Linked DNA regions of Caenorhabditis elegans. The protein of the gene in region 1 purifies or fractionates together with the protein of each later gene. This does not show direct contact. Each region holds a gene or a part of one and is shown on either strand. Other genes may lie near its edges.

Region 1 (6,843 bases):
GTATACACAATCTGTTGAATAATTTAGTGTTTTTTTTTCAATACCAGTACCTTACAAGCATCGTTCTTGTTACAACAAAAAATTTGGTACGGGAAGAGGACCAGGAGAAAACAGTTAGAGAGTTGATTCTAAACTGATCTGACGCCATCTTGCAAAATAATTCATTTAGCATTCATTTAATTATTCAAAAGTGCGGAAAATAGGTAAAAACAGTTAAAATGAAACCATGCGGCGGAGTTGCGAAATGGCACGCCGAAAAATGCAGTTCCCGCATTCCTTGCGCGCCATCGTTGTGGATTAGAATGCAATATCCCATTATGTACCTTACCCTACAAAATATTCTGTGTTCTAAATTTTTGAACGTTTGATTTCGAAATTCATGATGTATCACAGCTGCAAAAATTGCAAGTTAGAAGAATAATTAAGCTATTTGTGTTCTGTGCAGTTTTTGTTCGAATGGCTGCATTTAGTCTAGACTTGAACATTTTTCAATGAGTGCAACAAATTTTAAATATCAAGTATTTCATGAAAAATTTATTGAATAAAATATATATTACTTCCTTGTTCTATACTTTGAAAGGCACGTACATACAAACAAAATGAGTCCCACAACCAGTTATTAATAAGTTAAACGTTTTCGTGTAATAAGTTCTGAAAAAACAATAGCTTATGCGGTAGCTTTCTTCAATTCTCCAGCAGCATCCAATGCTCTATAAACTTCGCTTGGGTTGAGATTCTCGTGAAGGTAAGAGTATTTTCCATTTTTGAAGTCTTCAACCAAATGTCCTTCTCCTCTCAACAACCATTTGGTGGTCAAAAGTCCTTCAACTCCAACTGGTCCACGAGCATGAATTCTTCCAGTAGAAATTCCAACTTCTGCTCCAAGACCAAATCTGTACCCGTCAGCAAATCTAGTGGAGGCATTATGGAATGCACACGCACTGTCTACGTGTTTCAGGAAGTGTTCGGCTGTGTTGGCTGAAAAAATAATTTTTGCATATTAATTGTTTTGTTTTTACTCGAAAAAAACAGGGCTTAGCTGCGTAATCTTAAATTTCAGTAAGCCGAACTCAAATGACTCACTGTTCTCTGTGATAATAGATTCAGTATGACCGGATCCGTAACGGATAATATGCGCAACCGCCTCTTCAACATTGTCAACAACTTCGAGCGTACACTCCAATGATCCATACTCGAATGACATGCTCTCTGCCGGTGGTGGGGCAAATTTCAGAAGAGCTGCAAGTTTTGGTCCGGCATGAAGCTTTACTCCTTCTGCCTTAAACATTGAGCACAAAGAATCAAAGAACGGCGCGGTTGCAAGATCCTTATGAATCAAAATAGTTTCAGCTGCATTGCACGCTGATGGATAATCGCATTTCGAGTCGCGAACAATTTGAATGGCCTTCTGCTCGTCACAGTCCTTGTCAATGTAAACGTGGCAAACACCTTCGGCGTGACCCAACACTGGAATTCCCTTGCTTTTTTCTTGCATTGAACGCACCAAGTCGGATGATCCTCTTGGAATGATCAAGTCGATAAGATCCTGCAAAAATGTTATGTTATGTTGTTTTGGTTCCGGATACAAATATTTACCTTGAGCTGAAGCAAATCCGCCACATCTTCTCTTGATCTGACCAAAGTAACCGCGTCCCTCATTTCAAATCCATGTGTTCCAAGAGCTTCCTGAACAAGAGCATGCAATGCTTTGTTGCTTTCTTCAGCTTCTTTTCCTCCCTTAAGAAGAAGTGCATTTCCTGAAGCCATAGCAAGTGAAGCGACTTGTGGAAGACAATCCGGGCGTGATTCGAAAATAACCATTAGGCTACCGATTGGAACAGTGACCTGCTCTAGAAATAGGCCCTCAGAAATTTTGACCTTCTTGAGAACTCTTCCAACAAGTGTCTCTGCGGAGTCGGCAATTGTATTAAGGCCAGCATGCAAGTCTTGAATCTTCTCTGGTGTCATTTTCAATCTATTCAGGAGTTGTGGATCGAGTCCAGCAGATTTGGCATTGGCAAGATCAGTTTGATTAGCTTCGATGATATATTTTTCCTTGTCAACCAGGAGAGCAGCGAGGTGGCGAACCATTGCACCACGTTCTTTGTTGGAAAGAGCAGCTAGTTGACGACCAGCGTCGCGGCCTAAAAGTAGAAAAATTGAGTGATTAAAAACATTCATAGGACTAAAGTTTTTTTAAAACCAGTATAACATACATTTCTCTGCGACCTCCTCGATTGGTGGTCCTTCATACCCCTTGGTGTTGCAGAACATGGTTCCGATCTTCTTTCCCGCCACAGCATCGGTGATAGCATCTTGCGCGAGCCCATTTGTAATAACTGTGGTAACTCCGTTGTTAAGAGCGTTTACACAGGCCGTAACCTTGCTCTCCATTCCTCCTGTTCCAAATTTGCTGTTTGCTCCAAACGTGACCCCCGAGTTTTCAGATGGAACGTATGTGTAGAGAAGTCTAGATCCTTCGAGATCTGGTGGTCCAGTATAAACTCCATTGACGTTCGATAAAATTATAAGTAGCTCTGCTTCAATTTCAGCGGAAAGCCTCGCAGCAAGTGAGTCATTGTCGGAAATATGCTAAAAGTTCAAAAAAGGTAAAAATTATTGAAAAAGAGCGTGATGTCATGCGGCAATTATACACAACAATGTAGCTCACTTAACTTCCTTCCTGGTCAACTGGACGGACGAACTCACCATATTCAACTTTGGATCTGGTGCCACTGCGTCATTTGCGTTGACAATTGGGATAATGTTGAGTGAAAGAAGGCTTTCAATTGTAGCCTGTAGATTCTTTCTTCTTTGATCATCATCGATGTCTGGCTTGGTCAATAAGACTTGTGCTACAGTAATACCGTATTGTTGGAAAAGTTGTTCATAAAGAGACATGAGTCCCGGCATTCCAGATGCTGCACACGCTCTTTTATCAGCAGTCATTCCAGATGGACCTCTACAAAATATTCTCATGGATTATACCTATTTGGAACTGGAAATTTATTAAAAATTTTAACCAGTAGAAAAAACACAAAACTAAAACTAAAAACGGCTAATATATTCAATGGGTATGGCCCGCTGAAAATGTTTTTGTAAAACAATCTATCATTTTTTAACTCACCTGAGAGTTTGTCGCATGCTCATGCTCATTACAAGTTCTTGCCGAAGTTTTTGTCTTCCGAATGCCACAGCACCTGATGACACAATAAGCATCTGTCTTCCAGACTGTTGGAGCTCGGAAACCTAAAATGTTTATTGAACATTGAAAATTATATTACCACATATGTTTGTGTGTTTTTTCTCCAAAATCTTAATCTTCTTATCAGGGTTTCACAGTTTAGGAAGTGGGAAGTAGGTATTTTCAAATTTTCATTAACCTAAATGTAAATGTTTTTCGGTAATCTTAGTATTTTTTGTTTGAATATTTATTCCTATTCTCTTTCAACGTAGTTAAGTAAAATATTCTTCCTGAATTCTATATGCGACATTCAAAATCAGGTGTTATCTGTACATTTCTAATTTTTGGACAACCCCCAATCATCAAGTAACGAAATTTTCCAACTTCACCTTAGATAAAATCAAATTCAAAAGCGTAAGTGAACCAAGGATTTGTTGTCTTTTTGCTGTTTGTGGTATTAGTTTTTTTTTGAAGAATATATTTTCTTTTTCAAATTCTTTGAATAAGAAGCTTAATTTAAAAAAAACTGACTTCCAGAAAAACGAGGCTACAGGTGAATTCCCACAATTCAGAAATTTGGAAGTAAAAATTCAAAATTCAGAGTTTTCTTGTTATGCTGGTTTGCTGATATCTCATCTGACTTGGTAATGAGTCGAAATTGAGTCAAAATTGTACTATTTTATTCAAAAATATAAGGAAAATTTGACACGATATTGTCTTGTTTTTGTAATTGCAATTTAGTATCATTTTTATTTTTTTTTCAAAGCTCATTTGTTCACATTTTTGTTGTCTTAAATTTTTTGTTCAAGTTTTTCATATTGCGTGAAATAAAAAATGTAGGTAATACTAAAAAGCATACAACTTCCCGAAATAGCATTACATAATTGGAGGCTTTTTCTTCCTCTTCTCGTTCCCAATAAACTTTCAAACTGACCTGTTCAACAATTGAAGCCAATCGTCCAAGTGCGAGACCACACTCGTCCTCACGTGTGATCACTGCACTTCCGAGCTTCACAACAACTCTTTGCGCTTTTTTCAAGTCATTTCTCGTGTTGATGAGTGGATGCTTCTGCCTTGTCTTTGTGCTGTAACTATTAATCGGAATTCGTTGCTAGGTGTACTTTCGTTGACTCGAACCCTTATCAGTTTTGATTTGGGTAGAGACAACTGTGAATCCACGAATAAATCGTTGATACCTTGACGTTATTTCATTTTCATTCAAACTCAGATTAGAAAGATGAGCGTGCGATTTAAGAACGATTCCAGTTAAAAACTAGAGATTTCTGTTTCTCAGCTCACAATTCAATAGATAACTTCTTAGCTTGAGCTACTTTTGAGTTGTTCTAAGAAATATATCTTAACATGACTACATTATACGATGTGGTATTATAGCGGAAATTCGTAATTTTGTATTCTGCTTCTAATGAATTTTCGAGATTAAAAAACGATACTGATAGTTTAGTTTCATTTTAATTCTTAAGTTTTTTGTTTTGAATAATGCTTCCTCATTCACGTTATAATATTTGTGTGGTAAATGTTTACATGTCCTTTCCTAGACCTGAAAATTTAAGATATTCTTCCGAATTTATTTATATCCGGCCAGAGTTGCCAAAATGGAAAATGTTCTTAAATTTTAAAAGTCACCCAAACCAAAACATATTTTATAAATAAATTATGTGTGTTCAACTTTAAAAAAATACTAGAGATGGGGGGGGGGGGGGGGGGAAGGGGTAACGAATGAACCTTGGATCAGCTCTTAGGCTCGGTGAAAACTATATTTTTTTCTGCGGAAAATTTTGAAAACTGGTTTCACACATATTTAGGTTTATTTTAGCCACACTCACTCACCAGTAATTTCCATTTCCAACTCCAACTGGAGTTGCTCCTACTGCTGTGATTGGGCTTACTTTCTCGTATGGTGCCAATGCTGATGATCTCGTTTTAATAAGTTCCGTCTGCAACTCCTTGTTTTTAATTTTAAAGAGGTATTGTAGTTTTACCTGTGTTGGGCGGAGAATATTAATATGCGAGTTTCTGAGTGGAAGTCGCAGACATCGAGTTGCGCGGAACATCTTGAGTTTGAGTGTCTATAAATTTGAAATAAAAAACTGAAAAGTAGGAAGTCAAAAAAAATTTTGGAAATAAAGAAATCAAGTACAATGTTTAAAGAGTTACCTGCATTTTTAAAGTATTTAAGAATCCGTTAGGCCAAAGAAAAACGTTAGTTTAGTACTACAAACGATTTCAATTCTTAATCTTAAACTCTGTTATTCACGAATTTTTATAGCTAAACTATTATGCCCTATTGCACCACATTCTGAAACAAAGACAGTTGTAAAAAATAGCGAGAGGCAGAAAAAGAAGAATTTTTACAAGCGGGGGATGACCCTAAGCGATATGGAGAAACAAACGTTGTGATTTTACTCCCCCTAGTCATCGTATATCTTCCTTCTTTCCTCCACGCAGCAATCCGGTTCCGCAGTCCGTTACCCACGTCCCCCCCCCCCCACCTCACGATTTTTAATTTCCCCGTTCAATTTGCAATTGATAATCACCAGACCTATCCTTGTAGAGGACACACGGTGAAAGTGGTGCCACGTCCTCTATTTTTTTTGAATCCTGTTCAGAGAACATGAATGGCATTCACGTGAAAAGGTTCAAGGTTCGGAATGTGGGATTGGTACAAAATGCGAAAACGTTTCGGGTACAACTGATAAGAGACAGGAGTAACTTTAGAGCCAATAAGTTAAAATTGAGAGGACTTGGTACTTAGATTGGATATTTTGTTGAATGCAATCAAAAGAATACACTTAAGTCATATTTCTCCAGACTTTGATAATTTAGAAACTGGATTATTTTTTAACTAATACCAGCGATAATTTCATCTGTTATTATCAAAAAAACTACAAGCCGAAATTTGAATTTAGCAGAGCACCTAGACCGCTGTTTTGATTTTGCATTTTACCCCTTGAATTTTACCGATTACCAGCCAATTTGAGAAAAAAAAAACGAATTTGCGCAGGGATAAATTTCATAATGCAGTTTTTTTTGCATCTGGCTAGATTTTCTACGGTGAATCTGGAAAACTGTTGCATTTTCTCAATATTATGGATAATTTATGATTGTTTTTATTTTTCCGCATATCATGTTAACACAGTCAGCTTATTTAAAAATTCACCATGCATATGTAGTGGTGGTTTTATTGTTGAAATTCTACATTATCCCATCGGCTGGTTTTTATGAAAACAGAATTTCAAGAAAAACTTCCTTAAACTAGTAGGGATTAAACATTTTGAAACAAGAGATGTTTCAATTAGTTCAAAGAATCACACCCCTCAGAAATATTATCATTTTGCACGCACTTTACATTAGGTTTCAAAATAATTTGTCTATCTGTCAGACATGACTAGAAACTGGATTGTATTTTTGTTAAAATAACACAACATTGAAAATAGACCGAATTCGAATGTTGAAGTAAAAAAAAGGAAAATAAAAAGGAAAAACTTAAAAAAAATTAAATAAATTGGATTGTGGTCAACACCATATGACTATACTAGACGAATGTGAGTTGGGTCACTCCTCAAACGCCACAATTCGTGCTTTCCGATAAGATAACAGTGTCAGGCTCAGTGTTGCTCGACTCCGCCCCTGTTGTCTGT
Region 2 (4,337 bases), 640 kb from region 1:
GCTACATGCATAGATAGACGAGGAGGAGACTGGTGCCAAAAAATGGCAAACAGGTGAGATTCACTGGAAATTTAGGGAAAAAAAGAGATTAAAACAGACACATATTTATAACCAACTTTAAAACATTTTCGAGACCGGCAAAAATATGAATCTTGAGGAATGACACTAGAAAACTTGAAAAATTATAAATAAGACTTGAGCATAAAGTTATTGATACCTTTGTATTTTTGCTAAGCAAATTCCATTTTGTATAACACAATTAAATCAGAAAAAAATTATAAAACCTCCACTACACTACAATTGCTTCAGAGAGAACTATTGGCAAGACGCAAGTTTCAGCACAATTGGTGGTTGTGGTGCTTTTCCGTCGGCATTCCGAGAGTGTCGAAATACATGTGGATATTGTTCAGCAACAATGCAAATGACTGTTGTTAAATATGACTATCGACTGGCAACAAGCACACCACGATGTGATATTAAAACATATTTTGCCAGGACGGATGTTGAAATGAAAAAGCGATACAATCCGGCTAAGAAAGGTGAGTGGAGATATATATTAATAAAAAATAGCATTATACATTTTCCAAAAATTGCTCAAAGTTTCACGCGAACAGAAAAATGACTCACAATTTAATACAGGTTTAGTTAGTCAAATGACGTCTTGGAAGCTTTTTTTGTGACTGCATCGAAAAATAATACTCGAGCGAAGATGAATAAAATTTTTAAATTATTTTAGAAACGTTGAGAATTGGCCGGTGGATGACTGAATATGTAGCTAATCAAACTGCCTATGAAAAATGAAATACAATGATTTTTAAAAGAAAATATTGCATGTTAATATGACCTTCCAAAAATTGTACAGAAATTTCCAGAATTCGACCCACTTGCCCGACTAATATGGAAAAGGCCAAAAGACACCGATTACTTCGTTGTTGAAGATCACAATTACGAGGATTTTATGTAATTATATAAATCTATTTTAATACATGTTACGATACTCAGAATTTATAAAGTTGTTTTAAAATTTATGAATAGAAAAAAAAACATTTTAAAAATGATCAATATAAAATGGGGAAACAATGCAAGCGAACAGAAAAATGCATCGGTGAGCACTACCAAAAACCGATAACAACAGTGCGCTCTCTCCGTGTGGTGATGATGATGACGTGGCAATACGATAATAAATCTGAAAACAAGGGAGAGAGGGGTTAGAGGTTATATCGTATCTCTTTTCATTTTCTTTTGTATATTTGATAAGATTAATGCTATATAAGGATATCACAGGATTCAAAGAATTCTGTTCACTTTTCCCAATCGATTCTAGAACCTGCCCTTTGTTCTGTCTTACGTGTTTTTTCCACACAAGCTTTGCTTCCTTTTTCACCATTTTGCGTAACATTGCAACGCGTCTGCTGCCTAAAATCGGCTATTAAAATGTCATTTTATCAACTAGATCTCCCCAATATCTCTTCCTTTTCCAATTTCGTCATGTTTTCTGTTAACTTTCTTGCTGAAAACTGTTTTTTTTTGTATTTTTTGAATCCTTAATTAACAGTTTACTTAACAGTTTTATTAAGCTTTTCAATTTCAAAGTATACATGACCAAAAACGAGTGAATATGGACACTTGATTATTATCAGTTATCAGTATCACGGTTTTGTTATCAAGCGCAGTGTTTTGGCCCCTTTCTCTCTCTCCCTCTCTCGTCCTTACTTCATGTGTTTGCATAGTATTGATAACTTGTTCGTGTTGTCAGGAATCGGTGGTCAGCGGTCACTATTAAGCACTCTTACTTCTTTCTTGTTTAGATTTTTCTCAAAATGTCGACTTTTTTTTTGACAAACTAAGCTTTCAGATACACACTGAAAATGAAGATCGGATTTATTGGAGCTGGAAAAATGGCTCAGGCTCTTGCCAGAGGCCTCATCAACTCAGGTAAACATTATTGGTTTCAGAAATTATTGATTTCAATTGCTAATCTTGGGAACTGTTTTTATAAATCCAAAGCCTGAAAGTATACTAAAACTCGAAACCTAGTCTATAATAAAGTTGCTTCATAAAGCACGTAGAAGTAATTTTTTCTAGGAACTGGTATTGGTAACAGCAAACAGTCCAATTAAAGCTAAGTACAGATTAAATTACAGATTTTGTTAGATCTAGCAAGTCAAATGTTTATGAGTTCTGTTAATATTACTGTCAACTACTGAGTACAATTAAAAGTTCAAAATTAAAATTTGTTAAAAATTAATTATGCCATGCATAACCAATTCCAAACTAACACCTCGCAAAATTGCAGGCAGAATCACAGCAGACAACATTATTGCCAGTTCGCCAAAACGCGATGAAGTGTTCCTTGACCAATGCAAGGCACTAGGGTTGAACACTACTCATGATAATGCTGAAGTTGTGCAAAAAAGTGATGTTGTGTTTCTTGCCGTCAAGCCAGTGCACGTGAGCAAAGTTGCTTCTGAAATCGCTCCAGCCCTTAGCAAAGAACATTTGGTAGTTTCTATTGCACTTGGAATCACTATAAGAAATATTGAATCGGTAGGCTTACTTAATTGAATAGATTACTCGGTGATATTGAAATTTCTAGCTTCTCCCAACGAAATCTCGAGTGGTACGTGTCATGCCAAATACCCCATCAGTTGTTCGCGCCGGTGCATCAGCGTTCGCCATGGGATCTGCTTGTCGTGATGGCGACGCCGAAACTGTAGAGAAACTCTTGAGCACTGTTGGTTTTGCAGTGGAGGTTCCAGAAATTCATATCGACCCAGTAACAGGACTCTCCGGCTCTGGACCAAGTTATGTAAGTACAATAAAACTTTGAAATTTCAAAAATGTAATAATCTTTTTGTAGATGTTCGCTGTGATCGAAGGGCTTGCTGACGGCGGTGTTAAAGTTGGACTTCCACGTGACCTTGCTCTGAAGCTTGCGGCTTATACTTTACTTGGAGCCGCAAAGATGGTTCTAGAAACTGGTATTCATCCAGCTCAGTTGAAGGATGACGTTCAAAGTCCTGCAGGTTCATCAGTATATGGAATGCACAAATTGGAGAGTGGAGGGCTCAAGGTACATACCGTGATGCGATAGAGAGATGATGCTTTAGTTTCAATGAGCATAGTACATGATTAGAATAGGGTCACTTGGCCTGATAAAAATGTGATCACGTTACAGGGTGTTCTTATGGATGCTGTCGAGGCGGCTACAAACCGGTCAAGGGCTACTGGAGACAAGGCGTTGCCAAGAGACTTCCGAAATACCGAGATGTGAATATAAGAGACTTACACATTCATCGTTGTTCTCTAATTTTGTCCAATTTTATTTATCTATCTCTTTCTCATTCTCTTGACCGCTCTTTAATTTATTTTCCTGTCCTCCCGCCCACCTATCCTTTGTTACGCAAAAAACGTGCCTTCCCAATATGTTCCCCTTGCTCCTAAAACAGGTGTCTGCATGTAATCCGGAAATAGACCAAAAGTAAACTCAGATTTTAATATGGTTAACACATGTATTAATACACAATTTAGCAGATTTAGTTCTAAGTTAGAATAATTTTTGTGGTCTCTCCTTTTTACCTTTTGTTTACTTTCGTTAAAGCTAAGGAGGTGAAAGCTGGAATTTCATATAGCTAAATTTCAGAGAAACGGAAAAAATGATGGAAAGTGCACAACAACAAAGGACATGATAAATTCGCACAAATTTTATTTCATTTATTTTAATTTCGGATTTGAAATATCTGGAAATACGTATTTCATTTAGGCATATTGTCTCTAATAAAATAACCAATCAAAAAAAATTTGAATAATATTACAAGAACATTTTTTAAAAGTTTTACAAGCGTGAAAAAAACTATTTATACTGACTACAGCGCATGCAATAAAGTTGTGCAGAAAATTTACAAATTTCCCTGTCAAAAAATTTTAAGTTTTAGACACCGGACGGTTCAATTTTTGCATTTATTTTTTTTTTTTCGTATGTAATTAAATTAAATAACTTGTTTTTACAAGGCCAAGAAAGTTGTTGTTACGGTATAATCTAGCGTCTCTCAGATATTGGACAGAATCAAGAAGCTTTTTATAGCTCTCTAAAAGTGTTTTTAATCACAATTTTGAAGCTAATGTTGTTGTATTTAACTTCTGGTCTTATTCTGACTTCTAAAAAAATCATTAAAAATTGTATGAATCTTCCTAATATGGTTTAAACAAATTTTGTGATATGACTTGCACTTGGAATTGGTACAATTTCAGAGTCAGTGTGAAAAATTTGCCCATAAGATCACATAAACTCACATAAACTTTTTTCAATTCGAATATTTCGCAAAAAAAAAACAAAC
Region 3 (4,210 bases), on another chromosome or scaffold:
AATACGGTTTAAATAATTTGTTAGATTATATTTTCAACAAATTAATAAATATTTTGGTTAAAAAAAAACTTGTTCAGTATCGTGAATTGTGGTTGCTGGAGAGCAAACTAAGCAATATTCTATACTCTTTTTTAACATCGTTTGAAAAATTGGTGAAAAATGAAATTTGCATTTTCAAACTTGACGTCCTACTTACAGCACAAAAAACGCTTAGGTAACTATCATATCTTGGCAAAATAATTACGATTTTAAAATGTTGCCGACGGAAAAATGTATTTTGAATTTTTAGTGATTTGTTAGTTGACTTTTTTTGAATCCTCTTACCGAAATGGAATAGATCCTCAAGAGGATAAAACCTCATATACATAAACTCGAAAAATAATCGGCCTATAACGTAATTGGCTCTGACTTTCAATTCACATAAAAATGTATCTAAACCTAATTCAGCAATGCTATTTTGTCTCCAAAATTGCATGTCTTTGTGTGACGCAATAGCAAAAAAAGCTTAGCTCATTTTTGTGCATTAAATGTGCTACAAAATCAAAAAAAAATCATTTATTCAATAAATTTAATCAGTTTTATTTATCAGTGTTTTTTCAGTGTCAATATGTTTTATATGGTATATCACTATAAAAATATACTTTCAGAATGGATCTTCGAACATTTGCTCTTGAGCTTTTGGTTCATTTGAAACTGCCGTATTTTCAATCTCGCTTTGTTTTTCCTGAAAATGCCAATATCAAATTAACAAATGTATGATATCAACTAATAACATACCGCCACCCTCTTCTTCTTCCTTTCCGAAATCTCGATATGTTGATGTGGAGCCAAGGCTTTTGTTGTTTGTGCACTCTTCTGTTTTGCTCTTTCCAATTCAAATGAGTCAGTCATTTGACTAATTACTGTGTTTAAGAACTTCTTCCAGACGTCTGTGATTTGAGATGTGGTGTAGTTTTGAGCAAATCGCACTTTTTTGTTCTCTTTTCCTTCTGATGATGGAAGCTCCTAAAATCATATTTGTTGGGTGAAAAGGTTTTTTGTTTTACGAGGGGAGATTATGAACTTTTTTAGAAAAAAAAACCAATTTAATTTAAACAATCTTATTTCGAATAGGTATCTACAAGAATTTATAGGAAGAGGATCACAAAGAACTAAAAAATCCGATCTGAAGTAACATTTAAAAATACTTATTTGAAAATATTATTCTAATTTTTTGAAAAAACCCGCAACTATTTTGCCCAACTGGATCAAAAATTGCACCTTTTTTAAAAAGAAAAACAAACATTTTTTTGAAAACAGCTCAAGTAATTTCCTCGCTCACAAACATCCTAATCTACGTTCGGGAAAATTTTCAAAATGCTTCTCGACCGCAAAATTTCTTTTTCGAATTATATAGATTTTTTCAGAAATCAAGCTCAATTAATTCCTTTATTAGAAAATAATTTGATTGAGTTGTACTCCAAATAAACCTTCCAACAAATCAATTAGTTGAACTTTCAAACTAGCTTGACCTAACTGATCCCACAATCTCACCTGTTCACCCGTCAGAAATGGAATTAATCGCTCGATAAATACATTTATAACAATTTCGAAATAGTTCTTCTCCATCTGGTTCTGATTTTGTTCCAAGAAACTGAAAAATCATCAAATGGCATTGGACTATATAATCATACAAAGTGACGGCATTTGCACCTGCGCACTTACCCTTGTCTGACATGACTTCTTCCCGTTTTTCGTACCAATTGCCATGCACCCGTCAGATTTTCAGACGTGCCAAGCATTGACGTGAGCTGGAATAATAAATTTGAGTTCAAAAAATACTCTTAAAAATGTAGTTTAGACAGCTAACCTGCTCCATGAACTCATAGAATCTTAGAATATGCCCTCCGAATTTCGGCATTTTCAGCATCGCGGCTCGCGGAGCCCGATCCACGCCAAACACTTTCTTGAGGTCCGGTTCAATATCATTGACAATATCTAAGAATATAAGACCAACAATATCCTTCGGATCATCTAGCCTTTGCCAAGTTTCACGTAACAGAGTACGGTCTTTTTTATTGAGGGCTAAGTCAAATGGATTTTCAGATTCGTTTCCGACCCAAGATGCTCCGACTTGCTGGAAAATAATTTTTTAAAATGTTCTGTGCGTCTTTAAAGAGTACTGTAGTTCTCTATTCTTATGTACTGTTTTTTTGAAAAGAATGTAAAAAATCCAAAAATTTTTGAGAAATGTTCATCTTCCGAATCAAGCTCAAAACTCACGGTTTTTTTCTTTTTCGGTGCACATAATGTGGCACCCATTGAAAATATATAGATTTATAACGATACTTGTTTTATTAAAAATCTTAAGCACAACTTCTCATCACCTCAATCAGGAAATGTTCTGAAAATTTGAAATTGAAAGACTCTGAAAAAGGAGAAGGAGTGAGTAAACATGAAGAAGACAAATTGAATAAGCCTCAATTATGACGTGGCAATGGAATGATGATTGGATTTTTTGTGTGTTGAAGTAGTCATAAAACGGAAGACGGCTGATTTTTTATGGGATGACGGGGAACAGAGCAACATAAATTCGCGTTCACAAGGCTGAAAACTAATTTGAATTTTGGCTTAAATTGTGGAAATGGCCAGTTAGATCTTGGAAATCAAATAAATCCTAACTGAAAATTTAGCCATATTCATTGTGGAAAAAATTAGATTTTTTAGGGTTAATAATTTTGTTTTGAAAAGATCTCAAACTTTTCCTATGACCCAAAGCATAATAAAAAACTGTAGATTTTGAGAAATCTTTTAAATCTAATTTGCCTTGTTTAAAATGCTTCCAAGCAGTATAATTTTTGTGGGGACCTATTAAAATGAGCTTTTTTGAAAATCCTAATTTTCGATGAAACATTTAAAAAAATCGAAACTTTTCCTTGTCAGCTTAACACTTAAATTTGTCAAAATCTGAGACTAGACTTGAGTTTTCTCGGGGATCTTTTCCGAAAGAAAAGACGCATATCAAAAATCAGTGTTCTTCTTCCCAAAAACTTATAGAAAGTATGAATATAACCAAATGATTGCTTTAAAAAAGTGAGAAGAAGGCAGAAGAGGGAAAAATACGAAGAAGTGGGATAAACAAAGTGACAAAAAACTGCGAAATTATAGTAGAGAGTTCTGACAAGAAATAATAAGGGAAGAGAAGGAAGTAGGTGAACTATTGGTTTTTCGAATGTTAATGTTATAAATGTATTTATACGTAGGCTGTTTTATTACTTGTTAGAAGCTTGAACTCAAGATCCGGCGGGAAAAGTGTAACAGGTGCACGTAAAAGTTCAGTGGATCAAAGATTTCTGGAACGGGACAAAATTTGTGGAGTTTGAATTCAAGTTATTTTGGAACATAGTTTGCTGGTGGGGCAGATTTATAAACGGCAGTAGCAATTCATGGTCTACCGGCTTCCTAGTTTCTGGTTATTTTCTCAAATTTTTGATTTTTGCCCATTTAATTTTTTTAAACATTTTCACTTCAAATTTTGTTAAACCACGGTATTTTAAGTCCACAATTGAATTTTTAAAGAATTTATCAGAAATGTTGGTTAATCTCCAAAATCGTTCTCCGCTCTCAAAAACCAAAGTGGACGTTTGCCTCCAAAAAAATGGAGAAAAAATGAAATTGCGATTTTTGGGTTGAAATTTATATTTTTTAAAAGCTGAGAACATGTTATACACGAATACTATGTCCATTTTGACACCCAGAATATCTGAAAATATCTAAAAATTGAAGCATGAATATTTTCAGAAATTTCCAGTTAATTTGTAAAAATCGGAAATATTAAAACTGCAGATTTCATGAACAAAAATAGTCTGAAATTTGTATAGAAAACAATTCAATCTTTCAAATTCAAGCACCCGCATTGCAGAAAATAATCAATTCTCATGCTCAACTAGATAGTTTTGCTATAGTTTTTGATCAGAAATTTGATTGTTTTCACTTTGCTTGCCGCTCTCCAAATTCCAAAAGTTCTGACTTCCAAGAAAAATTGAAAAAGAAAAAAAAAGAGAAATATTTAATTTTCCAGGAATTTTTTTTGTTGATTTTTTGAAAACGAGAATTGAAACAAGTATGGAAGAAAAATAGGCATAATCTTACTTGAAACTCAAAAATTTTCCTCTAGGTTACACCTAATTAAAACCTGTTCCTTCTGATATAACAGAAACCTTAACAAAAC

The links. The genes of interacting proteins can lie anywhere in the genome.
Region 2: the proteins of alh-13 (region 1) and pycr-1 fractionate together in Caenorhabditis elegans (co-fractionation; one large-scale study listed by BioGRID). This does not show direct contact.
Region 3: the proteins of alh-13 (region 1) and glb-12 fractionate together in Caenorhabditis elegans (co-fractionation; one large-scale study listed by BioGRID). This does not show direct contact.

The regions. Positions count from the first base shown.
Region 1 is NC_003284.9:12,780,824-12,787,666, reverse strand, and holds alh-13 (Glutamate 5-kinase), read right to left. Parts: upstream 5,274-6,843; 5' UTR 5,257-5,273; coding exon 5,185-5,256; intron 5,140-5,184; coding exon 5,033-5,139; intron 4,276-5,032; coding exon 4,119-4,275; intron 3,250-4,118; coding exon 3,128-3,249; intron 2,963-3,127; coding exon 2,710-2,962; intron 2,593-2,709; coding exon 2,217-2,592; intron 2,145-2,216; coding exon 1,597-2,144; intron 1,547-1,596; coding exon 1,084-1,546; intron 979-1,083; coding exon 668-978; 3' UTR 520-667; downstream 1-519.
Region 2 is NC_003284.9:12,144,977-12,149,313, forward strand, and holds pycr-1 (Pyrroline-5-carboxylate reductase), read left to right. Parts: upstream 1-1,855; 5' UTR 1,856-1,868; coding exon 1,869-1,935; intron 1,936-2,296; coding exon 2,297-2,547; intron 2,548-2,596; coding exon 2,597-2,809; intron 2,810-2,860; coding exon 2,861-3,073; intron 3,074-3,178; coding exon 3,179-3,270; intron 3,271-3,643; coding exon 3,644-3,689; 3' UTR 3,690-3,795; downstream 3,796-4,337. Other genes in the region: M153.5 (ShKT domain-containing protein), read left to right, coding at 1-53, 310-539, 873-964.
Region 3 is NC_003280.10:10,729,262-10,733,471, forward strand, and holds glb-12 (GLOBIN domain-containing protein), read right to left. Parts: upstream 2,392-4,210; 5' UTR 2,302-2,391; coding exon 2,263-2,301; intron 2,117-2,262; coding exon 1,850-2,116; intron 1,791-1,849; coding exon 1,705-1,790; intron 1,634-1,704; coding exon 1,534-1,633; intron 1,006-1,533; coding exon 778-1,005; intron 725-777; coding exon 644-724; 3' UTR 543-643; downstream 1-542.